Regions from separate parts of the Mus musculus genome. Here regions 1, 2 and 4 are each reported to be linked to region 3. Evidence: microRNA targets listed by miRTarBase, many of them from high-throughput screens and not tested one by one. Region 3 holds a microRNA gene; each other region holds the end of a gene's coding sequence.
The links. Region 3 holds the annotated microRNA mmu-miR-5135 (AGGUCUAGGUGGCAAGGGCGUCCU, at 843-866, shown strand). A microRNA usually pairs through its seed, bases 2 to 8, with sites in the 3' UTR of a target mRNA and lowers its output. Matches are read on the target gene's strand: a 7mer-m8 pairs with bases 2 to 8, a 7mer-A1 pairs with bases 2 to 7 and ends in A, and an 8mer does both.

Region 1 (3,237 bases), not on the chromosome of region 3:
TATAGCACCTAAGCTTCTCTTCGTAGGCCACGAGTTGCAAAGCTGATAATGTTTAAAATGCCAACTAGCTGGGTGGTAATGGGGCATGCCTTGGGAAGCCGAGGCAAGAGGCTAACCTGATCTACAGAGCGAGTTCCAAGATAGCCGGGGCTACACAGAGAAACCCTGTCTCGAAAAAAAAAAACAATAAAATACCCAGCTGAAAGCAATCAGACTTTCTGGGGCAGCTCAGGTTGCTCTTGGGAACTGGCTCACTCCATGTTGCTGCCTCCACACCCTGCAGCCCCCAGCAGACGGCTCTGCTTTCATTTCAGAAACCCAAGTCTGACACGGTGAGGACTTCCCTCCGCCTACTCACGTCCAGTGCCTACCGGCTCCAGTCGGAGTGCAGAAAGGCTCTCCCAGGAGACTCCAGCTTACCCACAGATGTGCAGCTGGTCACACAGCAGGTCATCCAGTGTGCCTATGACATCGCCAAGGCCGCCAAACAGCTGGTCACAATCACCACCAAAGAGAACAGCAGCTGAGCTCGGGTGCTGTCTGCCTGCCCATAGACTATACACGAACTCTTCAGATTTTTACAAAACATTTAATGATGATTTCAGACTTTTTAAAAGAAAGCTCAGTATTATTTTTTGCATGTTTTCTAACAGATTTTTGACTGTAATTTAACCCTTGCCTTATTTGTGCCTATTTGCAACTTAGTTCTGTCCTGTCAGATTGTCACCAAGTGCTTAGGTCATGACCCCATGTGTTCAAAAGTCATTGTTCCAAGTGTGTTACAACTTTCCTGTCCTTTACAATCTCTACCCATGCCTAAAGCTATAATTGATATTTTTAGTAAAACATTTTCTTAAGAGATAAGAAAGTTGGATTTAAAAACAAAAACAAAAACCCCAGCAGCAGCAGCAGCATCCGTCCCTTCCAAGCATCGTGCAGTCAATCAGGAAGCTTCCCTTCCATCCTGTGGGGTCTCTCCATGTGCACGAGGAGCAGAGCTTCCCACTTCCTAGAGAGAGCGCATCTCTTGGGAGTGACAAGGAGCGGATCCATTTCTAACTCTTGTATCATGTTAAGTGTTGTCTTATTTAATATTTTTATCTTGATTTTCTATCTATAAAGATTTTACCATCATGCTGATGTCTCCATAATGTCCAAAAAAGTAGTTAGAAATCCACCCTTTACATCAGCTTCCAGTCGGCCACATTCAGAGCAGGAGCACCGCCCACTGTCAGGGGCCTGCTTCCCCGCCAAGCCAGACAGTTTACTTAGAACCCTGAGTCAGTTTCACAGGCCGTGCTGCTGACATCCTCCACACGGCTCCTCTGGAAGGATGTCTTCCCAGGTAAGACGCAGGGCCTCCGTGTCCCCATCCCCTCACGGGTAGTTCATGATTAGAACTCCTGTGGCGCTGCACGAAGAGTTCCCCGTGTGCCCTAGCTGGTGGCAGCTCCCCCACAGCTCCCCAAGGGCAGAGGTTGACACCCAGGCCACCGCAGCACTGGCGCTCGCTGTGCTGAAGGCACTTTGTCGATCGCTTCTGCCTGGGTGGAGCTCTGGCCCTGACCTGAGGGAGCAGGCAGTGGCTATGTTGCCAGCCAGGTGCACAGACAGCCAAGGGCGGCTAGGGACCCCACCCAGCCTGTGAGGACAGCAGCTTGTCCCACTCATACCCCTCATGCAGCTGTAGAAAAGTAGCCTGTGGCTGCCAGTGCTTTGGTTTTTCAAGGAACCAGAAGTTTGAGTTATTTCTTGACATTTTTCTTTTCTTTTCTTTTCTTTTTTTTTTTTTTGGTTTTTCGAGACAAGGTTTCTCTGTGTAGCCCTGGCTGTCGTGGAACTCACTTTGTAGACCAGGCTGTCCTGGAACTCAGAAATCCACCTGCCTCTGCCTCCTGAGTGCTGGGATTAAAGGCGTACGCCACCACCGCCAGGCTTCATGACATTTTTCTAATCAGAAATGTGGACAGTCAATCCAGACATGCCCACTGAACAGGCTGCCCATCTCAGCCTCCGCTGGGGTCTGTAACCTGCACATGAGTGAACCTGTCAGCCAGCCCTGGAAGGCAGCATCAGTCTCCCATAGAACGACCAAAGTGAGGTGACCTCAGTATGCTGAGCCTGCCTCATAGTCCCTCTTACAACATGGCCAATGCATCCTGGAGACAGCATCACCTCAACGTGAGGCTCACAGCTCGGAGGAAAGGCTCAGCGCTCCAGGGGCCTGCCCACTCATCGATACACACAAGCCTAAGTGCTGGAGGATGTCCAGCAGGGCCTTTTAGAAAGGGGCCGGCCAGTGTGAGCTCAGGCATCCTCTCTGACAAGCTTTTCTGCGTGCTCCAAGGATGACTGCTCTTCCTGGCAGGCTCCCTGGAGCTGGTTCCAGCCTGAGCTGGTTCCCACCATCCCCAGAGAGAGCAGGCCTCTGTTGGAAGCTTCCGGGAAGAGAACTGTTAGAGGTGGAGTGGTGCAGTCCCGTTAAGTCACGAAGAAGAATGCTGTCCTTGAGAAATCAAAGAACACGGGGCCAGTACAGCATTTCCAGACGCTCTCAAGAACACCAGTCAGTCCCATGTCCTCCTCAGGCTGAAGGCCCTGTGTGGAGGCCTGAGGAGACAGCAGGAGGGGCCCCACACAGTCCCTCCTGAGACCTGGCTGGGGTTAGAGCATACTGTTCCTGTGGGCAAATGCGTTTTGTCTCAAAGCTCGCCCTGGCCGTTTTTGGGTTTTTTGCACGTGGGTCTCATCGCCTCGCAGGAGTGAGCTCTGCATCCAATCTGGCTGCTCTCTCCCCTCTCTGGGATTCTGCCTTCCCACCTGTGTACCCCACTTTCTAAGATGGAGAGGATGAAGACACAATTAATGGAGCAGGCCCTGCCTCAAGCTCCGTTCCCGGAAGGCACTGTGGCCTCAGCACCACGGTCTTTACTTGCCAAAGACGAAGTCCAGTGTTGCGTGCACTCGGGACTCTTAACGGCACAGCGCAGGGGCTCTGCCCTGACCTCAGTGACTTCCATCATGGAATGCAGCCTGAAAGCCGCGTGTTTTCATCCTCCACAGCTTCGGTGGGCTCGCAGTGCAGTTTCCTTTCCTTCTTTGTCCTAGCTGGCTATCACCCACGCTCTTACAAAGCAAAGTGCAGCATAGAGAAAAGAGCATTGCATACCTGGTGTTAAGCCCCCTCGCTCCTCCTCCTCTGGTGGCTTCTCAGCATCCTGAAGTTACTGTCCCTGC
Region 2 (3,000 bases), not on the chromosome of region 3:
TCTAGAAGACTGACACATAGCTGTGCTTTCTTTTTAGCCTGTACCCCAGTAGGATGTGTTGAAGACCTTGGGAGAGACAGCACGAAATTGCACTTGACAAATTTTACTGCAACTTACAAAAGACATCCCTCTTTGTCACCAAATGGCAAAGCTCCTTGTTATGCTCCGTCTTCCCCTTTACCAGGAGATAGAAAGGTTTTCTCAGACAAAGCAGTTCTTCAGTCATGGACAGATAACGAGAGATTGGTTCCTAATGACGGTGCAGACTTTCCAGAGCACAGCTCCTATGGGAGAAATTCTCTGGAAGATAATTCCTGGGTATTCCCAAGCCCTCCTAAATCAAGTGAGACAGCATTTGGTGAAAATAAAAGCAAAATCTTACCTTTATCCAACCTGCCGCCACTGCATTACCTGGATCAACAGAATCAGAACTGCCTTTACAAAAGTTAATTTCACTTGTGATTTGATCAGGAAGACACGGACTCAGGGGTTCTCCCAAGAGATTGTTCAAACTGAAAGTGGACTTTGATTGATGGCTTGTGCAGTTCTCCAGTATGTACATTTGTACATTCTGTATAACATTATATATGTAATTGATTTTCCAGTATGGGAACCTCCAGTTGTACCTTTGATAACAATTATACATTTTTGCTTCTTGGATAGAGTGGAAATGAAAATTTTAGGCATGGTTTTATAAAGTATGTGACCTGCCTAAATATCCAATCATTAAATAAAAAGCAGCCTTTAGTATAAAAGAAAAAACATGTCTGCTGGTTTAGATTGTATCAAGAAGCAAGTAAGAGTAGGTTGAGCTTCTGTAAATTCCTGATACATAAAGATTTGAAATATAATGGAATAAAAGTAGGTTATGACATCTCTATGCTATTGTTTCAAGTTTTAAGATTTAAAATCATTTTTAAGTAAAATGTTTGTATATACAAATTTAAAGTGCAATTTGAATTCTAAGACTTGAATTAATGACTATTGAAGCCAACTTTTTCCCAGTATATTTAAATCCTAAATAGTTAAAAATGATGTGGTATGTGAATAAACTATTATAACCTTATACAATGTCCAGTTAAAAGAAGAAAGAGCATCTCACAGGGCAGTCTCTTCAGTGATGTGTAGTGAACCTCCCGTGTGGTCATTTTCAGCAGGACAGCTATTTGTTTTACACAGAGCAGCTTACACACTGTTAGATATGACATTTGAGAAAGTAAATGCTAATTAGCTGCATCTAGAACTAAATCTTGTGCTGTACAATTGTGAAATATCCCAACTCATTCTAAGTGCCCAATCACTTGTAAATAAGTAAAGAAATAACAAAGATGGCTTCATGTGGAAATTCATCTAAATTTTTTCAAGGTGGAAGCATTAAGAGTATTAGTAATCATGTATTACCTGTTTGATGTAAGAAGACTTTATCCTTTTCTAAGTGCCATTTCATGTATCTTGAATTCAGAGGATCTCTGACCTTGTATCACTGAATAGAATGCATAGCCAGGCACTGTTCACTGTTGAGTTATCTCAGTCACTTACTCATGCCTGTCCGTGATTAATGGAATTGATGTCAGATACTGGAATGTGTTCTGACCAATGAACACAGCTGACTCGAGGGAGTACAGGCTCCTGCCAAGTAATACAACAAGACCCAATATGCATAAAACAAATACACAAGCCCAGGCTCTAGCTGAAGGCACTAACTGACTGTGTAATAAGAAAGCAAACGCAGTTCTCGTGTGACTGCGGAGGCTGTCCATCATCTTAGGACTGATGTAGCTTAATGGTTTGCTTTTTTTCAAACCAAGATGAGAAGTTTTCTTTTGTAAAGAGAGTCTTATAATGTTTTTGAACAATGCCAAGAAATTGTTTTAATTAAAATTATTTTTGTTTTTAAAATGGAATTGGATGTGAAATACTGTCCTTGCCTATGTATATTTCCAAAGTCTGGTATTAATTTTATTTCTCCAACATACTCTGAATGGAGGGAATCCCCTCTAACTAGTAGTAACCGTTATCAAAAAGGATTGCTAGAACAGTCTGATGGGTGTTAACAGTCAAAGTGTTAAAAGCTTGTGTAAGACTCCTTAGCTAGAAAAGAGAAACCCTAAAATATTCTTACCTGGTCAGAAAATGTTTAAATATATACTTAGTCAATGGTAACAGCTGTATTTTGTGATTCATTAAAATTGACAGTCCCGTTGGTCCTTTTCATACTAGCTGACAACCCCAACAAGCTTCCCTAAATCTAATTAAGCTCACCTGTAACTCATTAATATTAGGACACAACCGACAGTAGCCACATGCTCCTTCCTCTTGGTCCTTTATTGTATTGAGCCAACGCCAAAATAGAACTGCCCCATGAACCTGTAAAAACCGGGGATCCAAAGACACATCTGCAGCAGGTACACTAGTCAGGCAAGCGGTGAATGGGAACACAGTTTATCTAGTACCTACTGGTTTCGAGACACACAACAGAAATCTTGTTACTATGTCACTGGCTTCTTGTAGTAACTGTACCTTTTCTTTGAGTCACTGAAAACAACTGTAGCCCTGTCCAATAGAAATGTGCCAGTGCCAACAAGGCCAGCGCAGAGATAATGGGCTGCTTGGCCTTTCCCCGTGCTGCAGTATCTTCCTGAGTTTGCTCTGCTTGGCCTCCAGTCACCTTCTGTTGATCTGTGCTTTGGGAGAATGGGTTCTTTGAGTTTCAAACAAAAGTAAAGTAGTTCTTTGGTGAGTACACTGTGAAGCTTGAACATGCATTCATTGACTAGGTTCATTTCATTTGAATGAGAAATTTTTTTCATAGGATTGGAGCCAAAGTTAAATCTTGCCTTCCTGGTTTTTTTAAAATAGTTTTTAATATAAAAAGCTCAGACTAGGGTAACACACTAAAAGAGAAACTTACCACAGTTCCTCCCAAACCCCCAATATCACAAAACAGAAGTTCACACTAACAATGCCAACTTCTTAAAATCCAAGATTATACAGTATTTT
Region 3 (3,237 bases):
TTCCGGGGTGGGGATAAAAAGTGACTCCCCTTACGACCTTCCCGCGACCCAACCTCCTCCGAGTGTGTCCGAGGCAGCTCGGGGCCAGGTCCTCATCCCACAGAGGGCTAGCCTGGGGTCTCCGCAGAGCGCTGCCACTCAGCCAATCGAGCATGGGCAAAGAGAGAAAGGCAAACCTAGGGACACTCACCAAGCGGTGGCCGCCCCGCCGGCTCGCGACGCGCCAGGCGCGCGGGGCTGCCCAGGTGGCGCCGCGAAGCGGGCTCGAGTTTGAAAGTCGCTCTCGGAAGCGGCAGAGGCCGCCGGCCGCTCCCGCCCACGGCTGGCCGCCCCGCGGTCCCAGCCTCTGCTCGCTGCGAGCACCAGACGCCGGGGGACCCCCGAAATGCGCACGGTTCCCCAGCACCGGGCAGGAAGTTGCGGCCGGAGTCCAGGCTGCGGCGGGAGGGAGGGAGGGAGAGAGAGAGGGAGAGGGAGGGAGCCAGGGAGGGGCGGACCAGGAATGTTTCCAGTGGGTGGAGACTGCGCTCGCGGCTGCGATCCAGCAATTGGCGGCTCTGGGGGGCCCGGGGGAACCTTCGCGGCGGTGCGAGCGAGCTGTGGCTCCCGCTGTAGACAGCGGCCGCCGTGGCTAATGATTAACGCGCGTGGCCCGCCGTGTGGGTCCCGCTGGCCGCCTCCCCTTGCCACCTGGAACTCTGGGATCCCAAGGCGCACGTGGTGGGGTTACTCTAGTGCCACCGCCCTGATATCACGCCGAGAGGGCAACGAAAGCCTCCAGACCAGGTTCCGACCAGAGAGGACTCGGAGCCCAGCCACCTAGACTTTCCCAGGAGAAGCGCAGGTCTAGGTGGCAAGGGCGTCCTGGTCCTACTGGAGCAGGTCACCACGACCGCTGAGTCAGAAAGGCACGTCTCGAATTCCTCGCCGAAACTAGGTTTCGGTGGCTCTTTACAGTTGTAAAATCTTACCTTCTGAGGAGAAAGAGATAAGAAGCGCATAACTTGGGGCGGGGCGGGGCGCGGCGCTCAGTGGGACTGTTAATGAGAAAAACTGATCGAGGAACCTGAATGTCAGTGGACCCCATTTTGAGTGCGATCTATCAACAAAAGGCATGTACCGGGAAATTAGGGGATGGGAAAATTGGGGGATGATTAGCACAAGCACATAGAATACAAACCAGTTAGATTTTGAGCAAGAACATAAATCTTTTGTGTGGTTTTTGTTTTTGAAGCAGGATTTCAATTATCTGAGACTGGCAGAGGGTAATCTTGAGAGTAATGGTTCTCCACCCTCTATCTCCGGAGTGCTGGGATTACTGGTGTGCACCACCACGCCCTAATTATTGTTTTTATTTTATTTTTTGATTTGAAACAGGCCCACACTTTGTAGCCCAAGCTAGCCCAGAACTCTTGAGTGATCCCCCAGAGTGCTAGAATTATAGGTGTGCGCTACTACACCTCACTAAGAATAAATCTTTCATTGGTAAAGATCTTAGGGGAGGTAGCATTAGATGCTGTCCCCAGTACGCACCATGAAGAGGGGTAGGAGATGGGAGCCCAGTGTGAGATCACAGAAGAAGTAGGACTCCTGCGTTAAACGATGGCACCAGGTTCTTGGAACAGGAATGGAGAATCGACCCCAGTAACTCAGCATTTAGACCGCCAAGTGTAGACAAGTGAAAATCCTAAATAGCTTATAAAATCCCCTCCTCCACCACTGCCCTCAAAAAAAAAAAAAAAAAAAGCTGCCCCAGGGAAAAGCAAGCACCTAGTGATTTACGGGGAGGGGCGGGGCAGAGAGAGAGGAAATGGCTTTCAGGTGACTTTGAAACGGGATCCCTGGGAAGAGTAAAGATTAAAGTAGTCCTTGCTCCTGACTGCGGGAGGGCCAGAAAGTAAGGCTCACGTTACTTAGTCCACAGGTTAGGCTTGAAGAGCGGCAGACTAGAGGACAGCACTGGTGAGAAACAAGATTACCCGGGAACGGGGGAGAGAGATAAAACTACGGGGTGGGATGGGAAAGGGAGAAGCCCCACTCCTTCCCACCTCGAACTTTCTGGGTTTCTGGTTTCTTCTCTAATCTGTTAAATCTTACCAGTCCTTTCCTACTAATCTTAAACTCCCAACTTCCAAAGACGTCCCCCAGCCCCAATCCAGAGATTTAAAACTTTTGAATGTATGACTGGCTCCTTAGCTAGAAAAGAAAAATAAAATGTTGATGATAGTAATGGTTAGGGAATGGTGCTACCAAGTGCACTGCACTTTATAATCACTAAGGCAGGAATACACTTACTCCCATTTTGCAGGAAGAATACTGAGGCTCTAAGGATGGAGCAGTCTGGCCAAGATCAATTGCATCAAGGGGCGTAGTCTGAGGGGGCGACACTGGAGTGCTTACTGTGTTAACCTTTGAGCATTTTACAAGAACAATTGCGGTTACAGGAGAAACTGAGGCTTGGTCATACTGCTAGTGGGTGGTAGAGCTGGGAGTTTCTACCCACAGGGAAAACTGCATTTAGCCAGCCAGCTCTTTCTCCACTTCCTTCTAGACACTTGTTAGTCCATTCTGAACTTGATTCTAAAGCCTCGAGTTGTTTCTAATTGCTTTAATTTATATGCCCATTTCCTGAAAAGATTGTAATCTTACTATGCAGAACTTGTAAGAAGCATTCAATAAGGCCATGCTGGAGCCAGATGAAACAAGCAAGATTTTATAAAAAATCAGTTTCCTACCTCCAAGCCTCCAAGAGTCAGTGTCAGGACCAGGGTCTCAAGCCGAGCCGCAGCCCCCTTCTCAGCGTTGAGCCTTTCTGCCTTCCCACCAGCTCTTGCTTCAGCGAGCGGCCTCGCCCTGCTATTAAATCATTTATTATTATAATAACACCTTGAGTCTCAGTAATGCCTTTAATCTGAGGTCTCAGGGTGTCTAACAAATACAAATTAATTCATCATCTCAGCCCCTCCACTTGGAAGGGAGAATGGAGGTGTTCTCCCTAGTTTATGGATGAGAAAACCAAACAACCAGAGTCAAGATGACTCACAGGGAACCAATGCAGTTTCTCATCCCTTGCCTCTGACCGCCTGCTACCAAGCCTCGCATGAAAGCTTCAAATCCCAGACGCCAAGGCCATTGAGTTTTCACAATTGTCATTTCTGCTGCTCCACTGTGAACATCAGGAAAGGGAGGGATGTAAACACAGGCAAGAGATCCCCTGGGGCTGTGATCCCGGGCTGT
Region 4 (3,237 bases), not on the chromosome of region 3:
TCCATTTTACTGACAAGGCCAACAAGGGCTTGCACGCTGGTCAGGTGGTTTGGGAGGGATGCCAACGTTCACACCTGCACCTCATGGCAGCCCAAGCCCAAACACTCACCCATGCCACGCCTCCTCACACGGCAGGAGAGGCATGCTCCTGAGAAGGTGAGGGCTCTGAGGAACTTGGGGTGTGGCTCAGAACCCTGGGCACCACCCCACCCAGAGCAGAGAGGGAGGAGTGTCAAGTATAAGCATGTGTGATTTCATCCATCTGATATGCAGAGAACAATGAGCAACTGTGAATTCCCACGTGTTGTCGACTCAATGTTAAAACTGGTCAGATCACGTGAGGAAAATGCCCGGAGCCCCAGTGTGACAAATGAGCCTCTGGCCACATCCTGTGTCTGCCCCCTTCTGTTGTGAACATGCAGCTTGAGAGTCTTTACCTGGGGACCAGCCCTACCATCATCCCCAGACCCATTCCTACCGTGGGGAGATGGATAGACACTCCCAGGAAGTCAAATATCCTTTCAGTCCACTGTCAACAGAGCAAAACATCATGGGGACCCCTTTCTGCCTGCCTTTCTTCACCTTTGGTGACAACATCTTACATCTTAAATAGTAATTGGTCAAGTTGACCTGTAGTTCAACAGGATATAAAATACATATTTTAAATAGATTATTATATTTTAAAAATTACTTAGTAGCCAGATGTGGTGGCTTTAATCTTAGTATATATACCTTTAATCCCAGCACTTAGGAAACCGAGGCAGGCAGGTAGATCTCTGTGAGTCTGAGACCAGCCTGGTCTACATAGTGAGTTCCAGGCCAGCCAGGACTGAATAGTAAGACCCTGCCTCAAAAGATTAAATTAAACTAGAAATTAAAAAAAATACTAAAATTAAAAGAAAAAGAAAGAGCTGTCTCTTAATTTACTAAGTGCCTAATAACCCGAACTTGAGTCAGGCCAGTCAGGGTCAGGGCCAAAGCTTATCAGGTAATGTCATTAGCCAGCTCTGCTAGGGAGGAGGCATCAAAGCAGCTTCAAGGACCATCATCCAAAAGGCCAGGGGCTCAGCTGTGCCAGGCTTAAGGAGATCACCCGGGGGAGGACAGGGCCCTTCTCATCAGACTGGAAGCCTGCCGCATGGGACGTGGGTGACAAGACTTCTTACCCTAACAGTCACGGTGAACACCATGGCTGGAAGCCGGGAAGTGCTTCAAGAAAAGACTCTCATGGCTATTGAACACCCCCTCCTAGGGTTGTTCTGTCTGTGAGCTGAAGAAAAGAGGCAGGGCCAAAGTCATGGCGCTATGTAATATGGCTGATTTGGCATGGTGGTTGTATGTAATACAGGCGGCTTTGCGTGCTGGCTGGCTTCCTGCATCAGAGGGAAACATTTGCTCTCACTTCTATATTATCATAATCTCCAAAGGTAAAAATCCCTTAGGCTGTGGCACTTGTCCTGTGGTCCTATGAGGTCCCCAAACCCTATTGTGTCTCTATCACCAGCCAGTGGGCAGGAAAGCCTCAGAACAAGTGAGCACTGAGTTGCTCTCTCAGCTTAACATTCATCAACTAATACAAGTCTGCTTCTCAGTTTTATTCCTTCCTTCCTTCTTTCTTCTTCCAGTCAGGAGCTCACAATGTGGCCCTGGCAAGGTAACCTCAACCTCACAGAGATCTGCCTGCCTCTGCCTTCCCGGTGCTGGGATTAGAGGCGTGCAGCACCGTGCCTCCCGGCCTCCAGTTATATTTCTAAGAGAGGGAACATTCCTATGAGGTGCAATTTCATATGACAAGCCAAGAATTTGGTTTATACAAAAAGTTAGTGTTCTAAAACAAAACAAAACAAAACAAAACAAAAAAAACCCTCAAAACAATTTTCACATGCCAAGGTGTGGGTGACACTGGAGCTTTGCCAACAGAGAACAAATAGAGTAGTAATGATTAAAACCATAGGGCAGTCACTCAGGAGAGAAGAGAGAAAATGGGGTTCTCTGTTACTGCTCCAAACCCCAAGACATAACGATACATAGTGTGGACAGAAAAAGAAACCATCCAAGTGCCAGGCCAGGCCGTGGTGGACACAGCTTTAATCCCAGCACTCGGGAGGCAGAGGCAGGCAGATCTCTGAGTCTGAGGCCAGCCTGGTCTACAGAGTGAGTTCCAGAACACGCAGGGCTACACAGAGAAACAACAACAACAACCATCCAGGCACTTCGGGGTCATGGGCCCCTGTTGGGAATCATGGCCAGGTGAAATGTCAACATTCCACAGAGGACGCGGATGCTACAGCCAGAGAGTGTCCTTGAGGCATTGGGGTATTTAACAAAGAGCCTGCCAGAGACAAAGGCTTATCTCAGAGTTGGCCATGGGGAAGCTGTTAGAAGAACAGCATTACTGTGGCCTCTAAACTCTAAAGAGAAGCAGAGCCGGGGAGGCCACAGCAGAGAATCCTGAAGCCCTGATTCTCTCTTGACCCACACGATGAGGCAGGCTGCTCTCCCTCTGCTGAGCCTCAGCTCTCCCTCTGGGGACAGATTAAGGTCACATCTTGCCATAGATGAGAAGAATCTGACAGGAGTAGCACTGCTGGCAACATGGTGGCACCGCCAGCAGAGTCTGCCAACTAAGCTTGTTCCCCAAGCGCCCCCCACACCAAAGGTACCTAGTAAGGGCCCTCTCTGAAATGGGACAGATAATTCTGTACTGGACAAAGTACGTGGGAATCCTATTAGCCATTGTCCTCCTGTCCCTATGTCCTTCTCTTTCATTTCTTGTAAGTATCTCGCTTCAAAGTCAAACTACAACTCTGGGGAGGAAGTCCTGGAGAGAAAGACTTCAGATACCAATACCCATATGTTCCGTACCAGCCCAACAAACCAAACATGGTGCCGAACACTTTCTGGGTCAAGTCGTGGAAATAAACGGCTGTGCACAGAAACATCCACACCCAGATGAAGGTCAGGAAACCCAGGGCGACAACCAGGGTGGTGATGGCGGCATGGAGGTGGTGGCCGCGGTCCGTCTTCACCTCATGCAGCACGGCCATCTCTTCCACAATCATGAGCGCACAGAAGGTCAAGAGGAAGGAGTGGCCCGAGATGTCAAAGCCATGCCAGAAGCCCCCTTCCCGGTGGCACTGCTGCTTGCTGCGATGCTCCTGTCTGATGCCCTCCAGGGCCGGGGACTGGTAGCAGCTGCCTGTATAGTGCTCAATGTTGGAGAAGAGGGCTGTGCAG

Region 1: the mRNA of Git2 is a reported target of mmu-miR-5135. Seed matches in the 3' UTR shown: 7mer-A1 at 1,850-1,856.
Region 2: miRTarBase lists Azi2 as a target of mmu-miR-5135. The part of its 3' UTR that is shown has no 7-base or 8-base seed match.
Region 4: the mRNA of Fitm2 is a reported target of mmu-miR-5135. Seed matches in the 3' UTR shown: 7mer-A1 at 2,144-2,150.

What each region holds. Positions count from the first base shown.
Region 1 is chr5:114,727,472-114,730,708 of GRCm38, reverse strand. It overlaps Git2 (GIT ArfGAP 2), which reads left to right. Exons shown (of 20, transcript NM_001347400.1): 20 at 315-3,237. The coding sequence ends at 527. Among named protein-coding and RNA genes, the nearest start is that of Mir7028, 9.6 kb to the right of the region's middle.
Region 2 is chr9:118,061,677-118,064,676 of GRCm38, forward strand. Azi2 (5-azacytidine induced gene 2) reads left to right here. Exons shown (of 8, transcript NM_013727.4): 8 at 38-3,000. The coding sequence ends at 450. Cmc1 (COX assembly mitochondrial protein 1) reads right to left here. Exons shown (of 4, transcript NM_026442.3): 4 at 2,846-3,000. Among named protein-coding and RNA genes, the nearest start is that of Gm51660, 10 kb to the right of the region's middle.
Region 3 is chr12:76,530,772-76,534,008 of GRCm38, reverse strand. It overlaps Mir5135 (microRNA 5135), which reads left to right and starts at 797; the gene lies at 797-875. Plekhg3 (pleckstrin homology domain containing, family G (with RhoGef domain) member 3) reads right to left here and starts at 449. Exons shown (of 19, transcript NM_153804.4): 1 at 191-449.
Region 4 is chr2:163,466,738-163,469,974 of GRCm38, forward strand. It overlaps Fitm2 (fat storage-inducing transmembrane protein 2), which reads right to left. Exons shown (of 2, transcript NM_173397.4): 2 at 1,966-3,237. The coding sequence ends at 2,766. Among named protein-coding and RNA genes, the nearest start is that of 2310001K24Rik, 4.2 kb to the right of the region's middle.